Danio rerio: one gene and its partners. The protein of the gene in region 2 purifies or fractionates together with the protein of the main gene of each other region. This does not show direct contact. Links are inferred from orthologs where the notes say so. Each region holds a gene or a part of one and is shown on either strand. Other genes may lie near its edges. The genes, in order: ncbp3, prpf40a and snrnp70.

What was found.
Region 1: the proteins of prpf40a (region 2) and ncbp3 purify together in Homo sapiens (affinity purification with mass spectrometry; 3 studies listed by BioGRID and IntAct, counting the BioPlex papers as one, with this or other methods). This does not show direct contact. The link is inferred for Danio rerio from reciprocal best matches to the Homo sapiens genes PRPF40A and NCBP3.
Region 3: the proteins of prpf40a (region 2) and snrnp70 fractionate together in Homo sapiens (co-fractionation; 3 studies listed by BioGRID, with this or other methods). This does not show direct contact. The link is inferred for Danio rerio from reciprocal best matches to the Homo sapiens genes PRPF40A and SNRNP70.

Annotation. Positions count from the first base shown.
Region 1 is NC_133196.1:33,658,261-33,664,067, forward strand, and holds the end of ncbp3 (nuclear cap-binding protein subunit 3), read right to left. Parts: intron 5,083-5,807; coding exon 4,900-5,082; intron 2,248-4,899; coding exon 1,949-2,247; 3' UTR 1,344-1,948; downstream 1-1,343. UniProt on the Homo sapiens protein: Associates with NCBP1/CBP80 to form an alternative cap-binding complex (CBC) which plays a key role in mRNA export. NCBP3 serves as adapter protein linking the capped RNAs (m7GpppG-capped RNA) to NCBP1/CBP80.
Region 2 is NC_133184.1:4,702,235-4,707,214, reverse strand, and holds part of prpf40a (pre-mRNA-processing factor 40 homolog A), read right to left. Parts: coding exon 4,908-4,980; intron 4,109-4,907; coding exon 4,003-4,108; intron 2,045-4,002; coding exon 1,980-2,044; intron 1,870-1,979; coding exon 1,705-1,869; intron 1-1,704.
Region 3 is NC_133178.1:30,720,767-30,726,184, forward strand, and holds the end of snrnp70 (U1 small nuclear ribonucleoprotein 70 kDa), read left to right. Parts: exon of another isoform or gene 1-1,445; coding exon 1,446-1,547; intron 1,548-2,059; coding exon 2,060-2,159; intron 2,160-2,247; coding exon 2,248-3,058; 3' UTR 3,059-3,865; downstream 3,866-5,418. Other genes in the region: lin7b (protein lin-7 homolog B), read left to right, coding at 4,184-4,220. UniProt on the Homo sapiens protein: Component of the spliceosomal U1 snRNP, which is essential for recognition of the pre-mRNA 5' splice-site and the subsequent assembly of the spliceosome. SNRNP70 binds to the loop I region of U1-snRNA.

The DNA of each region.
Region 1 (5,807 bases), on a different chromosome or scaffold from region 2:
AGCTGCGTTTAATAAACAAGTCGTTAATGTTTTAATTTGGTTAAAATGTCTAAGTTTTCCGACTGGATGTGAATGATTCGTGGAAACATCCGGTCACGCGGAATCTACATTTCAAAATCAAAGTCCTCGTGGTGTTTTTAAAAGGGATCGTTCGCCCCAAAATGATTTTTTTTCATTCAACCTGTTTTTCTTTTGTTAAACACGAAAAATATATATTATGAAGAATGTTAGAAAGGAGTACCCAATGTAGTTTTTCCATAATCCTATTTTAATGCACATTTTTAAATTTAGCATCAGATGTGTGATTGATATGCCCAAAAACAACCTTAAACTGCAAAAAAGTTGTTATGCCTGCTTTTGGTGATTTTTGGCTTGTACAAACGAAAACAATCAATGTAAATAACTAAACAGAATCGCATTCAAACCAAATAAACATGGCCATAGCTGGCATTAAATCCTATTGTTACTAATTGCAGTAGTGTCTCCATTATGATTGCCTTCAATTATTTAATGTTGGTAACCAAATTACCAAGACTGTCGTCAGCTTCTCAAACATCTTGTTACAAACACAATGGGCTATATGCACACAGACTTTACATTTTCAGCCAGGGAGCCCATAAGGGTTTCTGGTGAACTGTCTTTCCATTACAAAATTGTGAAGTTTAAGATCTGATTTCTTTAAAAATTAGTGCTCTTCATTGCCTATTAGATATACAAATTAAAGTGGGTCTCAGATCGTACAAGAGGCACTGCATTAAAATCCACTTTCCATGTCTTTAAAATGACAAATTATTTTACCCCAGTATTTTCAATGGAATTTCTGCACTAGCCTGTTGCTGACAGCACTAGTGATTACAACGGTCTTTCATCTCGATTTACACTTGAACAACTAAATGAATGCTAACTGACTGTATTGCAATTACATTACAACAGCGATGCTGTAAAAACAACCTTGTGAAATTGAAAATAGTCACATTCTTGTCTTAGGATAATTTTTAAAAACTGTTTTGATCATCTTCAAATGTTGACTTCTGTATAGTGTAGTCAACATTTGAAGTGGATCAAAATCTTTCATCAAAGTTGTCCTAAAACTAATGAACAATAGGCATTCGTGTCTAAGGACAACTTTGAAAAACTTTTTTGATCCACTTCAAACGTTGATGATCGTATATACACAAAGGTTTTGAAATCATTTAAAAAAATGATGAGAACATTTTTGCGCTAAGTATTTCAGATCATTTCTATTATTTTTTTTTTCAGTAACAATTAACAAAATGTTTGTGTTATTTTAAATAAAGATGTCATATGGTGGAAATACAAATTTCTAGACCCAATCTGATATAAAAAAAAACAACAACTTTTATTCAACATACAATGCTGCTCTTGTATGTTTCACTGACCACATGTATTTAGGGAATGTGAACCATTCATTTGAGGGAGCATTATTACATTGGCTACATTATGTGCTATTCTTTTTCGGGACTGTGTAAGATAAAGCACTGATCCATCCAGGTCCAGTATGTGTGAGTGGATATTATAATGCTTGTAAAAAAACACACCATTATTTTCTTCACATCATCAAATCCACAGTGATAATGATAAAACATGAGTCATGACTGGATTAAAAAAAAAAAGTATTGCTAAAAGGCAATCGGATCACATTGCTTGAATTCATGAGAAATGCTTCACTGTGTATTTGAAATGGGCTCTGATTGTATGTCAAAATATAATTTATTTTCTTTTGAAGGAAAAAAAAAAAACATGACAGCTTCATCCTCTGCCTTTTCTTTGAGAAGTCAAAACAAAACCCTAACCTGCACCTTGGTTTCTGGAGGAAAAGTGTGACGTTTCTAGACTGATGAGAGTTGGGATTTTGGGAATGTTTAAGTTTGGATATCAGGGTCTCTTGGCCCAGTCTATAGATGCCCTCCAACTCTCAGTGAGTGAGTCAGGAGTCGCTGTCGGAGCCGTTGCTGCTGTCTCGACTGATCTCGATCTGCAGCGACGGAAGGTTGTCCAGTCTGCTTTTCTTCATCTTGTTGGACTGCTGCTCTTTCTGCTTGATCATTGCACCCCACATCTTCTGGAGATGAGAGTCGTCCTCTTCATCCTCGTCCTCCACTCCGTCAGAATCTTCATCCTTTCTTCGTCTTATTCCTCTGGAGGAAGATGCTCGTGATGAAGGCTTGTCTTCGTCTCCGCTGCCGCTGTCCTTGTGAGACGGGCCGAGGCGGCTCCACAAACCACCTTAAGATACAAATGTTATGGTTTGTAAATGAGTCATAATGAGTGTTGAGCAATAACATGTTAAGGCTGATTTATACTTCTGCGTCAAGCCCACGCGTATGTTATGGCGCAGCCTACTTAACGACGAATAGCCCTACTCAAAAAATTTAACTACACGTTGCAACAACGCGTAGCGCAAGCTCTGTGATTGGTCGGCTTGGTAGCGCTGATGAGCCTAGGCGGGACAGAGAGCCGCGTGATCGATGCGAGCCCGATAGAGCGATTGTTTACAAGTGTGGAGTCCCGTAAAGGAGCTCTGGGTGGAAGGTTTTTTTTTGTGTTTACCTCATAGTTAAAATTGTTGCACGTCCGCCGCTTCCTGCCTCAAAATAAGCGAGTTTCAGCCACTTGTACATTCAGGAAGCATTCAGAAAAAACAAAACACCAGCGAAGAAACTCGACACTTAGGAATATTAACGACTCACTGCCAACTAGCGTTTTGGAAGTGTTAATGCAGAATAACAGAGACAGAGCGCAGAAGTATAAATGCACAGCTACGCGCGTTGCATGCGCCGTCGGTTACGCCGGTCACTTGACGTAGAAGTATAAACCAGGCTTTACTAGCAATGTGTTACTGTAACGGCATTACTTCTGACAGTAACTAATGCAGTAACGCATTACTTTTTAAATATAGTAACTCTGTTATCGTTAAAATACAATGCGTTTGTCCGTGACTCAATTAATTAATTAATGAATCGTGAATTAATTAATTTTGGCTGCACTCTAGCCTACATCTTTCTGTTTACAGTGACGACACATTGGTGGATGCTAACCAACACTGCAAAGAAGACGCATCGTGTACGAGACACCAGACTTTACAAAAGTAAAGACAAAGCAGAGATACCAGCTGCACGCGAGAGGCAAAGTGTATACGCGAGATAGACCGAATGCAAGCGAGGTAGGCTGACTGTGTGCACAAGAGACTGAGACTATTACCGTTACTATTAATAATACTTATTACTAATACTTCTGTTTGTTGTTACAAATAAATAAGCACAGGTGGTATCTGTATTACAAAATTGATTATTAGAGACAGAGACACAGTTCGGTTACATTTCAGAACGTGTTATTAAAATGTATAACGTTGTATTGCTCAGAAACAATTCTGTGATTTTTTAAATTGTTTTACACATTTTTATAGCAGTTACACAACAGCAGATTTTGCTTTGACATACTACATTTTATTTGTGGTTAGTTTAAAAATTGCCGATAGATTTCATTTTTGAGCAGCTGTTATGTTATTGTTTTGTTTAAAATGCATAACATTTATGGACGTCTATAATAGTACTTTCACCAAATTGATTCTGAATGATAATTCAGATTACTTTTATTTATTATTTCGTTATTAAGGTTGTTGTGCCTGTTGTATATTGTCGCTATTTTCATACTCAAGCTTTGAAGGAACGTTTAAGGGTTAAATACAAACATTTATGATGCGGATGTAACTTTAGTCTTTGCTTTTTTGTTTTGAAATATATGCTTCAGCTGGTTTATAATCTTGTGATATTTTATTTTTGTGCTGCTGGTCTGACTTCAATAAATCAGTGTTTAAAAATTACTTTTTATTTAAGTTTGTCTTGTGTTTTAGTTGTAGGAATGCAGATTAATTAAAATTGTAAAGCTGATCAACAGTGTATTCTCTATGCAGAACTGCAGTGACGTTATGAGGGCATTAATGGAAGCATTACAAATGTTCTTTGGAAAAGTATCTCAAAAATTACCATTAAGAGTAATGCATTTATTTTTTTGGTGTAAGTAATCAATAAAGTAAATACTTTTTGAATAAAGTAACAAGTAACTGTAACTAGTTACTATTTTTCAGTAACTGGTCATAAACAAACACTTGATAACTTAAGTCCTAACTTTCAACAAACAAACTAATTTTTTTTTAAATCCCCAGTTTATTAGTGTTAAGATGTTTATCCCAAAATTGATCACATAAAGTGATCCATGAACTCCACACATACATAAGTTATTTTATTTAGTAAGTTTATTCAGAACCACTCTTAGGAAATTTTATTAACATTTGTCCATACAAAGCCCTTTTTAAAATGGACCATCTTGCTCAAAAATTATTAAATAGGGTTGGATATCATTAGAATGTTATTGATTCTGATTCTAATTTCGGTTCAGCCTAATAATCTTTTATTAAAATAGATACATTTAAAAAAGGGGGTTTTATTCTTTAATAAACAATCCGAGAATACCAAAGGACTCTTATTTTGAAATGTATGTCTTATTACCCCCAGCTGCTCTTTCAAAATGAGTGAAATATGTACTCTTGCAACCATTTTCACATCACAATTTAAATGTTTTTCTGTTACCATGTTTTTACCATGCTACCACATTTCCAAAATTACAAACTTAACAAAATTTTTATTTACACAAGAACCACAAAAATGCTAAATGTATACAATCTTCCCAACACTGATGAGAAATCTCATTTGAAATTTATGAGAACATGTAATCAGTAAAAATACCATAATTATTGAGGCCTTTGGAATTAAACCAATTTACTAAAATGTTTTTTTTTGTCTTCATTACTCCAATGTTATATTAGTATTGGAGAGCAAATATGAAGAGAACTGAGAGGAGTGCTGAATTGAGGTGTACCTGTTTTCTTGTCTTTGGGGGGTTCAGAGAAGAGACTGCGATTGTCATGTTTAGCTACACCGAGTCTGCTGCGTACGTCGCTCAAAGGCTCTCTCCGAGACGCCGTCTTTCTGGAGATCACAGGAGACACAGAGCGACGCCTCTCTGGGGAGTGTGGTCTCTTGCCTAATCTCTGTCTCACATCTGTGGAGAGGAAAAAAACAAAAAACAGGTGAGTCTCTTCCACATTTGCTCATGATGAAAACTGATAACAATTCAAAGCCTGTATACTATTTTCCTGGCCCAATTTTTCATTATGGTTTCCACTTTTTCCATGACAAGCAGGTTTAAGGACATTTTAAAGCATATTTAATTTTAAAATCAATAATTTTTGTAATTTACAACGCCTGCTTATGCAGCGACATGAAAGTCCTCACTGTACTAGGCATGGGCCGGTATATGTTTCTGACGGTATGATAACCTTGAACAAAAATATCATGTAGTCATGGTATCAAGGTATTGTGATTATTACTCTACAATAAGTTCTTTTTAAATGCCTGGGGAAAAAAAAAACAATGAAACCCAGCGTATGGTGATGTCTATACGTTCCAGACTTCATGCAAATAATTTGCAACCAAGTATTTAAAATTAATTTTTATTTGGAATTATTATTCTCTCCAATTACTTTTGGTCCCTTTACAAGTGGGAGGCAAATATGCAAACTGTTATAATTCCTACATCATTCACCTGATTTGGATGTAAATACCCTCAACTTAAAGCTGACAGTCTGCAGTTAAAGCACATCTTCTTTTAATTTCAAATCCATTGTGTTGGTGTATGGTGCCAAAAATGTTAGAATTGTGTTGATGTCCAAATATTTATGGACCTAACTGTACCTTAGCAATGGTATAACAGAAAACGTTAATGGT
Region 2 (4,980 bases):
TTGTAATGGACTCCAACAACAGGCTGATATGCATACAAGGTCAAAAAATACTTTCATTGTCTTATACTATGCATTTATTTTTACCTAATTATCCCTAAATATCCCTATTTTTACCTATTTATCTCCTTAGAGCAAACCTAATCTGCGCTGATTGGACCGATGACAGTCTCTTGCGATTGGTCAACATCGTTTAGAGAAATGCCACCACGGCTTATCAACAATATTGAAGTAGTCAAAGTGCATAGTATGTGTGTGAGCATACCTGCCAACAGTCCTGTTTTTCCCAGGAGTCTTCCATATTTCAGACCTATCTTCCGCCACCCTCCTATTTTGTTATTTCTCCTGGAAAACTCCCGTAATTTCAATCATCCCAGATCCGATCGCAGCGGCCGCCCGAAACACGCTTCATAGTAGTTACTAACACCACAGTACACTGATCTCAGTGTTATTCAGACACTTAACCGCCAAACCTAACCCCCCCGGTCTCCCGGATTTTCAGGGACAAATGTTGGCAGGTATGTGTGCGAGCCCGATGTAAAAGTGCATTAAAGCAGTGCAGTTGAACACTAGCATAATGCTAAGTAAAAACAGTGACACATATTCAGCAATAATCAACACAATGCCCAAAGCTAAACTATTTGAAAATTGACCGCTTCACATGTGTAGGAACAGCTGATGATGGCCATAGCAATGACAAACGGCAATGGAACGCGAGCTCACAAACGCATTTAAATCAGTAAACAAAGAGGCACGTGGCACGTTTTCAATGTGGCATTAGACGCGATATGAGAATATAAAGAGTTAACCTGATACAGCACGCGCAGTTACAAGTAACAAAACACAATTAAATACATAATTTGCAAGCTAGAGAAAACAAGGAGGCAGCCATTTTAATCGCTTTTAATCGAAACTGATCTATGAACTGTGTACTGTAAAGTTCCTGTCAAGCTCCAATGCCCAAAGTCCCACACATCAATAGTCTTTTCTGATCCTTCCTTTAACAAACGGCTGTTGAATACCCCTTTGTAAGGGTGTAGATTGCTGTAGCACTGGTCAGAAAAATGACGGGAACACAGCACACAGCTCGGGCTATGATGCTGAGGTATTTTTGCAAAAATAAACTTCCAATCACTGACTCTTCACAGTTTCATCTTTGTGTATAGAAAATAACACTAACTTTCCTCTCATACTTCCAATAATATCAAGCTGAGCACAGCGTCTTCATGACTTGATTCAACCAGGATCTGCTGCAGTGTTTGTGGGCCAGGGGGTTAAATTTTCCCGTGTTTGCGAGCGCAACAAATTGGCTGGGCTTAAGTTCAGTCAAAACGCCTAAAGACTCGTTATCAAGACGATTAATTTAAAGCACTATGAGTCAACTCTTTTATAGATGAATCAATAGTTTTAAACACTGTGCACATTCAGATTTGAGCCTTAGCTGGATATTTCACAACACTCAGAGCTGTTTTACACACTACATAGAAGGTCATTTAAAAAACAAACAAAAAAAAAAAAAACATAACAGGGGCTCTTTAATTTTTATATATAGTAATGGCAAGTTAATGTCTTAATGTCTTTCTTTTTTTTTTTTTGTATTTGGATTAAATGTGGTGACAAGAGACTTTAACATTACCAAATCTTACAGTGTCCATTATTCAGACAGTTGTATATAAAGTTACATGTATATAATGTATATACACTCACTTGTATCGTGTGGTTGACGTCATCTTCTCGTGGTTCTCCAGGAAGCGTTGGAAAGTCTCTTTAGACTCCTTGTATTTTATTCTGGCTTCTTCCTTTTCCTCTTTCTCTGTCTGGACTTTATAAGCATTGAACGCCTGTTTCTTCTCACTGAGCTTTGGCAGAGCACTGCACACACACAGAGAAAGGGACGTCAGTGAAGAATCGCACAAATTTGTTTAACGGCGCAGGATGTAAACGCTAATAAATGCCAATAATGCTGTGCAGTATTTGGATACCTGTAACGAGGGTCATTAATTATCAGCTTCATTGCCTGCTCCCATGATGCATTGGAAGAAACGCCCTGTAGGCCACAAAGAGGGAAAAACAAGAAAAGTTACAAAAAACACAACACAGGGTTGGAAGAAATATTTTGATTGGGAAGAATAAAGTGCATTTTTATCATGGCTGGGCGATAAATAAATTGTCCATTAACCATGTGTAGTTTGCATCAATTAGTTTGAACGAAAATCAGTTTCACTCTAATGCTGCGTTCACACCAGATGAGGATGAAGCGTCAAGCGCGAATGATTTACATGGTAAAGGGGTGGTCCAGAATGAATGAAGATTTATCTTTGGCCTTTTTGACTGTTGCATTGTTTTGCAGTGTGTGCTGTCAAACAGCATGTAAACACATGTTTCCTGCAAATCAACTGCAAATTGTGGCATGTTGCAAAATGCGTTGACGTCAACTCGACTTTAATAACAAAGGCCACTTCAAACATTTCAAGTTCCAGTTCAACACTCCCACTCCCAGAGCAGAATAGGCTCACTCAGGGCTGTTTATGCTAATAAATCATTTAGATTTCATAAAGAACAATTAAGCGTCTTGATTATGTTCATGGCTGCATTAGAGCTGCACGATTCTGGCTAAAATGAGAATCACGATTTTTTTTTTGCTTAAAATAAAGATCATGATTTTCTCACGATTCTGTAGATGTAAAATAAAGGTATGGTAAAAACAAACATATGGCACAACATCGATAATAATATTATGTGTAGGTCTACTGGTTTCTATAAATAATTCTATTCTACTTATAATAATTCTGATGTTGAATTATTATGTTTGAGATATATGCTTGCAATCTGTCACATTAGACAAATTTATTCACTGGTAAAATCAGACATTTGCCATTATCAGATTATATTCAACAATATATAGGCTAGAGTAGTTATACTGACATTGTAAACCTTTATTTTCATGCACAACTGTGGGTTCGCTATGAAAGAAAAAAACATATCAAATGCTTGTCGTAATCATAACTCTTAAATGCGATATGATCATTTAAATGAAGTGCACACTTTCAGTTTCATTCTGACTGCTAAGTGCTTGTTCATACTTCGCGCGCGGCTCCCAACCGATCACTCTGTGCCAAAAACTGAATATTATTTGCAAGTGTATTACCCGTTACTCGCAACATATGCAGGTTCTGTTCACTAAAGTAGACGCGCGCGTCTATCATTAAGTAGAGCGCGCGTCTATCATTAAGTAGAGTGTGCGCCCTCTTTGTGATAACAGCTCACGGTCAGCAGCACACGTCACGTGTAATTTCCTGATTGCGAAAGCATCATTATATTAAGACAAAAATTACATTTTTAGGTGAATTATACCTTATAAATTCAGTATGTGACTCATTCAACATCATTTGGAGGTGTCAATGTCACTGAGCAACGTGTGTGAAACAGTGAAAAGACTCGTGCAGCCGCCTTTTCTTCTCTCCTGAACTTGAAAATATGATTGACAGAATCGTAGAAATACTGGATTAAGATAGTCTAGGGGGTCGAATCGAGATCGCGATCTTTTAACGATTAATTGTGCAGCTCTAGGCTGCATGTATTGAAATGAAAGGTGAGATGTCTAATAGCATTAATAAATAGCTATTGTTGATATTTAAAAGCTTATTACAAAACATAAATGTAGATCCACAGAGAGGAGAGAAAAGCAGAAGAATGAAAACAGAAAAAAGTGTGATAAAAAGGCTCGCAGAGGTAAATTTCCATGTTGACATCATGAATCAGAAAGTTCGTTATCCGTAATGAGCGTGTCTTTCTGGAAGGCTGTGAGGGGTCTGTGAAGCGTGCGATTCCACAGTCTTCTGTTTCACTCACTTCAGTCTAATCACACTCACAGCAATTAAACAGCCGTGGCTCTCACAGGAGCACTTTGTGTGCCAAATTAAAACACACTAAATTTAGAAAGACCCAGCCGGAATATCAACACCTCCCTCCTCACTTCACAGGGGAGAGAAGGAAAAAAAATACCTTTTCTTTCAGGAGTTCTTTAAAGGCCTGCTTCGCCTCCTCTTTTGTATTCCACTTGTAAACTTTCTTCACCAGCTCAGGTCTCTCCTCCTTTGAAACGTCATTGCTGCAATAGAAATGAACCCATGAATGAATACCCTCAACACAATTATCTTTTCAAATGGAAATTAGCATTTGGTCTTTTATGCCACAAAACATTTCAAAAAGCGTCATGTGACTTAGTGAGTCAATTTGTAGCATCAAATATTCAAGCATTTCATCCAGTGGGATATGATTAGATTAAGTGAAAGATGTTCGACTACATTAAAGGGTCACGAAACACCAAAACACATTTTTTGAGCTGTTGACAGTCGTATGTGTCCCACACTGCTAAAAACACTATTAGAACACCTATATTTCACTAAAAAGTGTAAATTGGTTGTTTTTGCATTATTTCAAGCAGTTTTTACTGTTGATATTTGGTTAATCAGGAAGTGACGATTTTGTTCGCTTTGACTCGTTGGATGGAAACGATGCTTCATTCGCACAACTTTTATGCGATAATCCAGTGTTGCGCATAAAGTTTATTCGCATTTTTGGATGGAAACGCAACTGGCCCTGGCTTGCTCACTTTAGGCATGACAGTGGAAACGCAGCTATTGATTTTCATAGCACTTGTTTTTCCAACTTTCCAGCTTTCTTCAAAATATCTTCTTGTGATTTCAACAGAAAAAATATGTTTGAAAACATACGAGCGTGAGAAAAACCATCCCTTTTAATTGTATTCAGAAACAGTGTCACAAATAAGGAAAATAACATCTTCCTCATTTAAATAAACAATCATTTTAGCCTAATATGGAATGATTCAGAATAATGATCCTTTGTGAAGTTCATTTCTTGGTATCAAATATATGTGCATTCATCACCTAGGCTGGGTCTCCACGCTGGGCGTTTCCTCAGTGGAGTTCACAGCGACATCACTGCTGACCTCAGCAACCT
Region 3 (5,418 bases), on a different chromosome or scaffold from region 2:
GGTTGTGGTAAGGCCCTCTGTTAACTGATTTAAATGAGGGTGAATGGTAAGCCCCTCTTGTGGGTAGGTGCGCTGAGGGTGTTTGGTAAGCCCCTCTAGTTTGGTATGGTAGTCTGAGGGTTGTTGGTAAGGCCCTCTTGTTGACGTCAGGGCAGGTATGTGTGAAAGTACTGAAGGGTTTCATGGTAAGGCCCTCACGATGGGTTCCATCTGAACTTCATCGACAGTGCAGACAGGAGTAGCTTCGTGGATTTTCCATTGTTGAAGGATTGGATCCCTAATTCTAAGAGTTCAAGCTTGTCCCGTTTTAGTAAATAAAAATAAAAAATTGGATCACAGTTTCAAATATATTGAAGAACATTTTGATTCGAGGCTGCTGGGATCGACAGGCTACGTTTCGTGGGGTTTTTCATCAAGGACTTCCATCCTTGGCCAGGTGTTATGGTAAGATAGCAACTCCAGGTAATGTGGTATAACTTGGATAATGACTAATTACTAAGGGCCTAGATATTTAAGGTCTTAGACTTATTTCAGATCAGCAGAAGGAGAAAGCTTATTGGCCATACTGAAGTATGTCAGAAGTCTGTAACTTTAAAAGTGGTGCTTCTAGCTTCTTTGTATTATAAATAATGCAATTGCTAGAAGTAAAGCTTTGCTAAATGTTTTTTTCCCGTGTGGTGCGGTGTGGAGTGGTGTGGCGTGAGTGTGAATGGTGCTTTTAATGCTCAAATTCAGTTTGAATGTGAATGAATGTTTTGAAGACATTTGAGGATGAGAAGTTTGCTTTTTAATGCAAGATGTGTTCACCAAGTGCCTTTTTTAAAGATGCTATTATTAGTGATTTAATGACAACAAAAATGTCAGTGTGGATCACTCAAAGATATTATAGAAATTAAAATGACTTAAGTGATCCGAAGCTGTTCAGAACAGAGCTTGCTGATTTTTGGGATTTCTCCTGCACTGCATTAGAGCTGCCTCAGTTATAATTTGTATAGTAGTCATTTAAAATTATTAACAGAATTTTTTTCCCAATGTGTGCACTCTGGAAGATCTTAAAAACAATATGCATCTATTCATTAAACGTAGGTTACTTTTTATTTATTTACTTATTTATTTATAATTATGGGTTAAAGTGAATAGAAGCATCTAATCATCAAGGTAATGGTGTTGAAGGTAATCACTGAGGTAGAGGAAATGTATAAAATGGATGGCAGCATTGTCAGTTTATCATTCCTGGTGTCTTATCCATTTGGAGGTAAGCGTGTGACTTCTGATAGATTAATGTTTTGAATGGAGTTCATCCCAAATTCAAGGTATGTAGTAGCAAATACTGTTCTGTGTCTTCATGGTTCTCATTGTCTGTGTCTTTTTTTCCCTCTGTGCTCCCCTTTATTCCCTTCCTCTCAATCTCCACTTTTCTATTGCTCATCTATCAACTCTTCTAGCTGCTTATAAGCATGCGGATGGCAAAAAGATCGATGGTCGTAGAGTGCTTGTTGATGTTGAAAGAGGACGAACGGTAAAAGGATGGCGCCCCCGGCGACTTGGTAAGCATTTCTATTTTCCCCCCACTCTTGTCACATGTTTGTTTCTAGGCCTGGAGGTCCAGTTTGAAGTATTGAAAACATTTGATTCAGTTTTTCTAAAATGTCCCAAGACAAGAATGGATGTTGTTCAATAGTTTAGGACGACTTTGGTCCTAAACTATTGAAAAATGGGTTTTTAACGCCTTTAAATGTTGGCTTCTGTAGTTTGGTTAGGAATGGCTTTAGTATGCCTCAAAGAGCTTTCTTTGAGGTTTTTAGTTTCAAGTGAATCATTCTCTACCAAAAGCAAGAATGACCGCTAATCTTGTAGCAAATAGGTTTGATAAATCAAGGCAGGCAAAATCTGGCTCAAGGTCTACTGTCCTGCAGAGTTCAGCTCCATCTTTGATCTTTTGAACAATATTATTGCATGGGTATTATCAGTGGGCTTCGAGGACCTTGCCTATCCCAAGCATGGCCTTTGGGTCCCAAAACTTTCTACTTGAACCAAATTTCTTTTCTTCACTCTCCAGGTGGGGGTCTTGGTGGCACAAGGCGAGGAGGCGCAGATGTCAACATCAAGCACTCTGGCAGAGACGACACATCTCGTTATGATGACCGACCAATTGGAAGGTACGCTGTGTGAGAGGCGGTTAGAATTTTAGTTGGTGCTTTTTCATCTTCTGAACTTACGCGGCCTTACCTCTGTCTTATTTTGCAGTGATCGCGATCGGGATCGTGGTGAACGCCGTGAACGCAGTCGGGAACGTGATCGAGACAAGGAACGTGGAGAACGCAGACGTTCTCGGTCCAGAGAGAGACGCAGGCACACTAGGTCTCATGAGCGTGAGAGGGCCGCTGCAGGGGATGAGGCTGGGGGCAGCAGCCGACGACGAGAGAGGGAAAGAGAACGAGGTGGTGCTGGAGCTGGAGAAAGCAGAGAGAGGAGTAGAGACCGGGATCGAGATAGAGACCGCAAGAGAAGGAGCAGGAGCAGGGATAGGAAGAGAGACAGGGAAAGAGGAAAAGGTGCAGAAGGAGGGGAGGAAGGCATGGGCGGGCTAGTTGATGGCATGATGCCTGAAGGGGGAGATAGGGGCATAGAGGACCCCTTGGGTGGTGAACCAGGGCGAGGTGAGGAGGGAGGACCTGAAGGAGAGGAAAGGGGGAGGGATCGAGACAAAGACAGGGAAAGAGATCGTGATAGGAAGCGCAGCCATCGAGATAAAGATAGAGAAAGGGATCGGGACAGAAGGCGGGACAGGGATAGAGATCGTGACCATAAGCGAGACCGTGGAGATCGGGACCGTGGGGAGCGAAGGGAAGATCGACACATTACCTCCTCCGGAGATCATGAGGGTTTGGGTAATGGAGGTGAAGAAGGTGAAGAGCCAGTGCCACCGCAATCAGAAGAAGGTTCACAGGATGGGATGAGGATGATGATGATGGATCAGGATTCCATGCAGTCGGGAGAGGGCTATGCCTCCAATGAAAATGGGTACAGGATGGAGGCCCAGGGTGATGAGTACTAAAAGTGCCATCGTTGTGTGAATGATTGTAGGTTATCTAGATGTAATGTTGATTTGATCCACAAATATCTTCAACCATTATTTAATGCCTCCACCCTTTGCTTGCACTGTCCACAGCGTGTGAGTATTATACTGTACTAATAACAGCTGTCACTGAGAGAGCTTAGTGTCTCCCTGGTAAGAAGCGTCCTATTGTTAAAATAAACATTATGTAGCTAAACTGTGAGCTTTTTTATGTTTTTAGCTCTGGTAAACCTATTTCTGGGGCTTGGACTACAGTAAATAATTAGCTTAATGATGCATTTGAATTCCCTGTCTAACATTATTTTGATATCAAATGACCATAACTGGGAGGGGATTTCTTGACTGAAGCACTGTATTATAATACAGTGTAGTTTCAGTCAAAGATAAGTATTTGTTTGTTGGAGTTATTGGGGTTGTTTTAGTACTGTTATGTCCATTTTCATAGATGTTTGCGGAGTACAATAGTAACGTTTCATGGGTTAGTACATTTATCTGTAACATTCTTTTTGTATTGGTCTTCCCTTTAATTTCTCTGCTACTTTATTTTCATCATGTACATTTTGTTTCATATTTGGTCCTGTACATGGATCGTTTACAAATCGTACAGTTGCCCCTTATTTTACAGCAGGAACAAAGGCAGAAAATATGACACCTGCTTTTAAATGGGAATGTCTGCCATGGTCTCACAGAAATTGCTCTTAATTTTATGTATAGGTTTTTTCAGTTTGTATCTGGTCGTATTTGTTCTGCTTTAAATTCTTGAATAAATACTTTTTTATTGCCGAAGTAGTGTTTTGGTTATTTATTTAAATCTTACGGTGTTAAACGAGCTTGTGGGTTGCAAAACGACTTGAACTCGCGCCTGTGACGTGTGGTCTTGCGTCATCCAGTAAGCTGCCGCTCTGTACGAGCGCTCAGACCCGCGCATCTCGCCATCAGAGCTGGATCGTCTGCGCCTTCAATATTGTTTTTACATACTTAAAGCTCATCTCAAATTTTGTTTTGAAATATTAATTTGGTATAACGTCGCTGAAAGCGGTTCAGTCCTCCACTGCAGCAGTCTTCATGATGTCATCGTATTATCATACGGGGAAAGAGGTGGACATGGCGGCGATGACAGAACCGCTGTGCTTGGAAAGAGGTAATTTACTCCGTTCTCATTGTTGTGTGCAAGCCACGGAGAGTGGCGTTGTGCAAATATTAAAGCTGATAGCGTTGCTAACGCACTCGCTGGTTCTTGTGTTTGTTAAACAAGCAGCAGCAGTGACCACTGAGAGGCGCACAGTCTCCATAATCTGAATGAATGGATGTTTGCCCCCCTCACCCCACAGTAGGGTGTGCTAGTGTTTGTGTAAGGCTTAGAATTCATTGAATAATAATAAAAAGACAAACAAAACAAGGCTATGTGGGTGTTTAAGACAGAATGCTATTTTTATATACACGGGCTTATTTTGTATCACTGGTGGATGATTTGGACTGAAAGCTTAATAGATACAGCAGGTTATTGGGTGTTTCTGATTTTTTAAGGCACTTGTAAAACACTGATAGTTGGCTTTGCATTCCTGATAAACTTAAAATATTTGACAGTATTGGACAGAAAATTTGTTCTATCAAAACATTTTAACTGTCGAGATTGTGTTATAAATATTTTGCTTAAATATAAAGAAATCCAAATGTTTTTTTTTGTTTTTTTTTCGGGAAACCGTTTGTATTTTGTACAATGATGTACAGAAAATGCACACTGAACTTTACAATAATTTGAAAAAATTTTTTACTCCATAACCCTCAAGTGGTTAAACTTTTATGAGTTTCTTTGACTTTTGTTGAACCCAAAGGTAGTATTTTGAGGAATGTTGGAAACGCATAACATTTGACTTTGGGTGAACTATCCCTATAAGACTGGTATTAATCAGGAGTCGCCACATTAGTATAAACTGCCAACTTATACAGCATATGTTCTACGCAGCAGATGCCCTTTCAGCTGCAACCCATCACTGCGAAACACCCATACACCCATTCACACACAGACTAGTCAAGTCAGCTTACCCAATTCACCTATAGCGCATGTCTTTGGTCTGTCTGGGAAGCCACAGCACCCGGAGAACACCCACGCCATCACAGGGAAAACATGCAAACTCCACAGAGAAAAGCCAACTGACCAAGCATAGGCTTTAACCAGCGACCTTCTTGCTGTGAGGTGACAGAGCTACTCACTGTGTGTCCCCGAACTTTATAATAATTTAAACAAATCTAGAATAATATCTTCCTTTCTGTTTGTGCAAAAATAATGGTTTAATTTACAGTTATTTATTTTATTGGGAATGAAAGTAACCATTTAT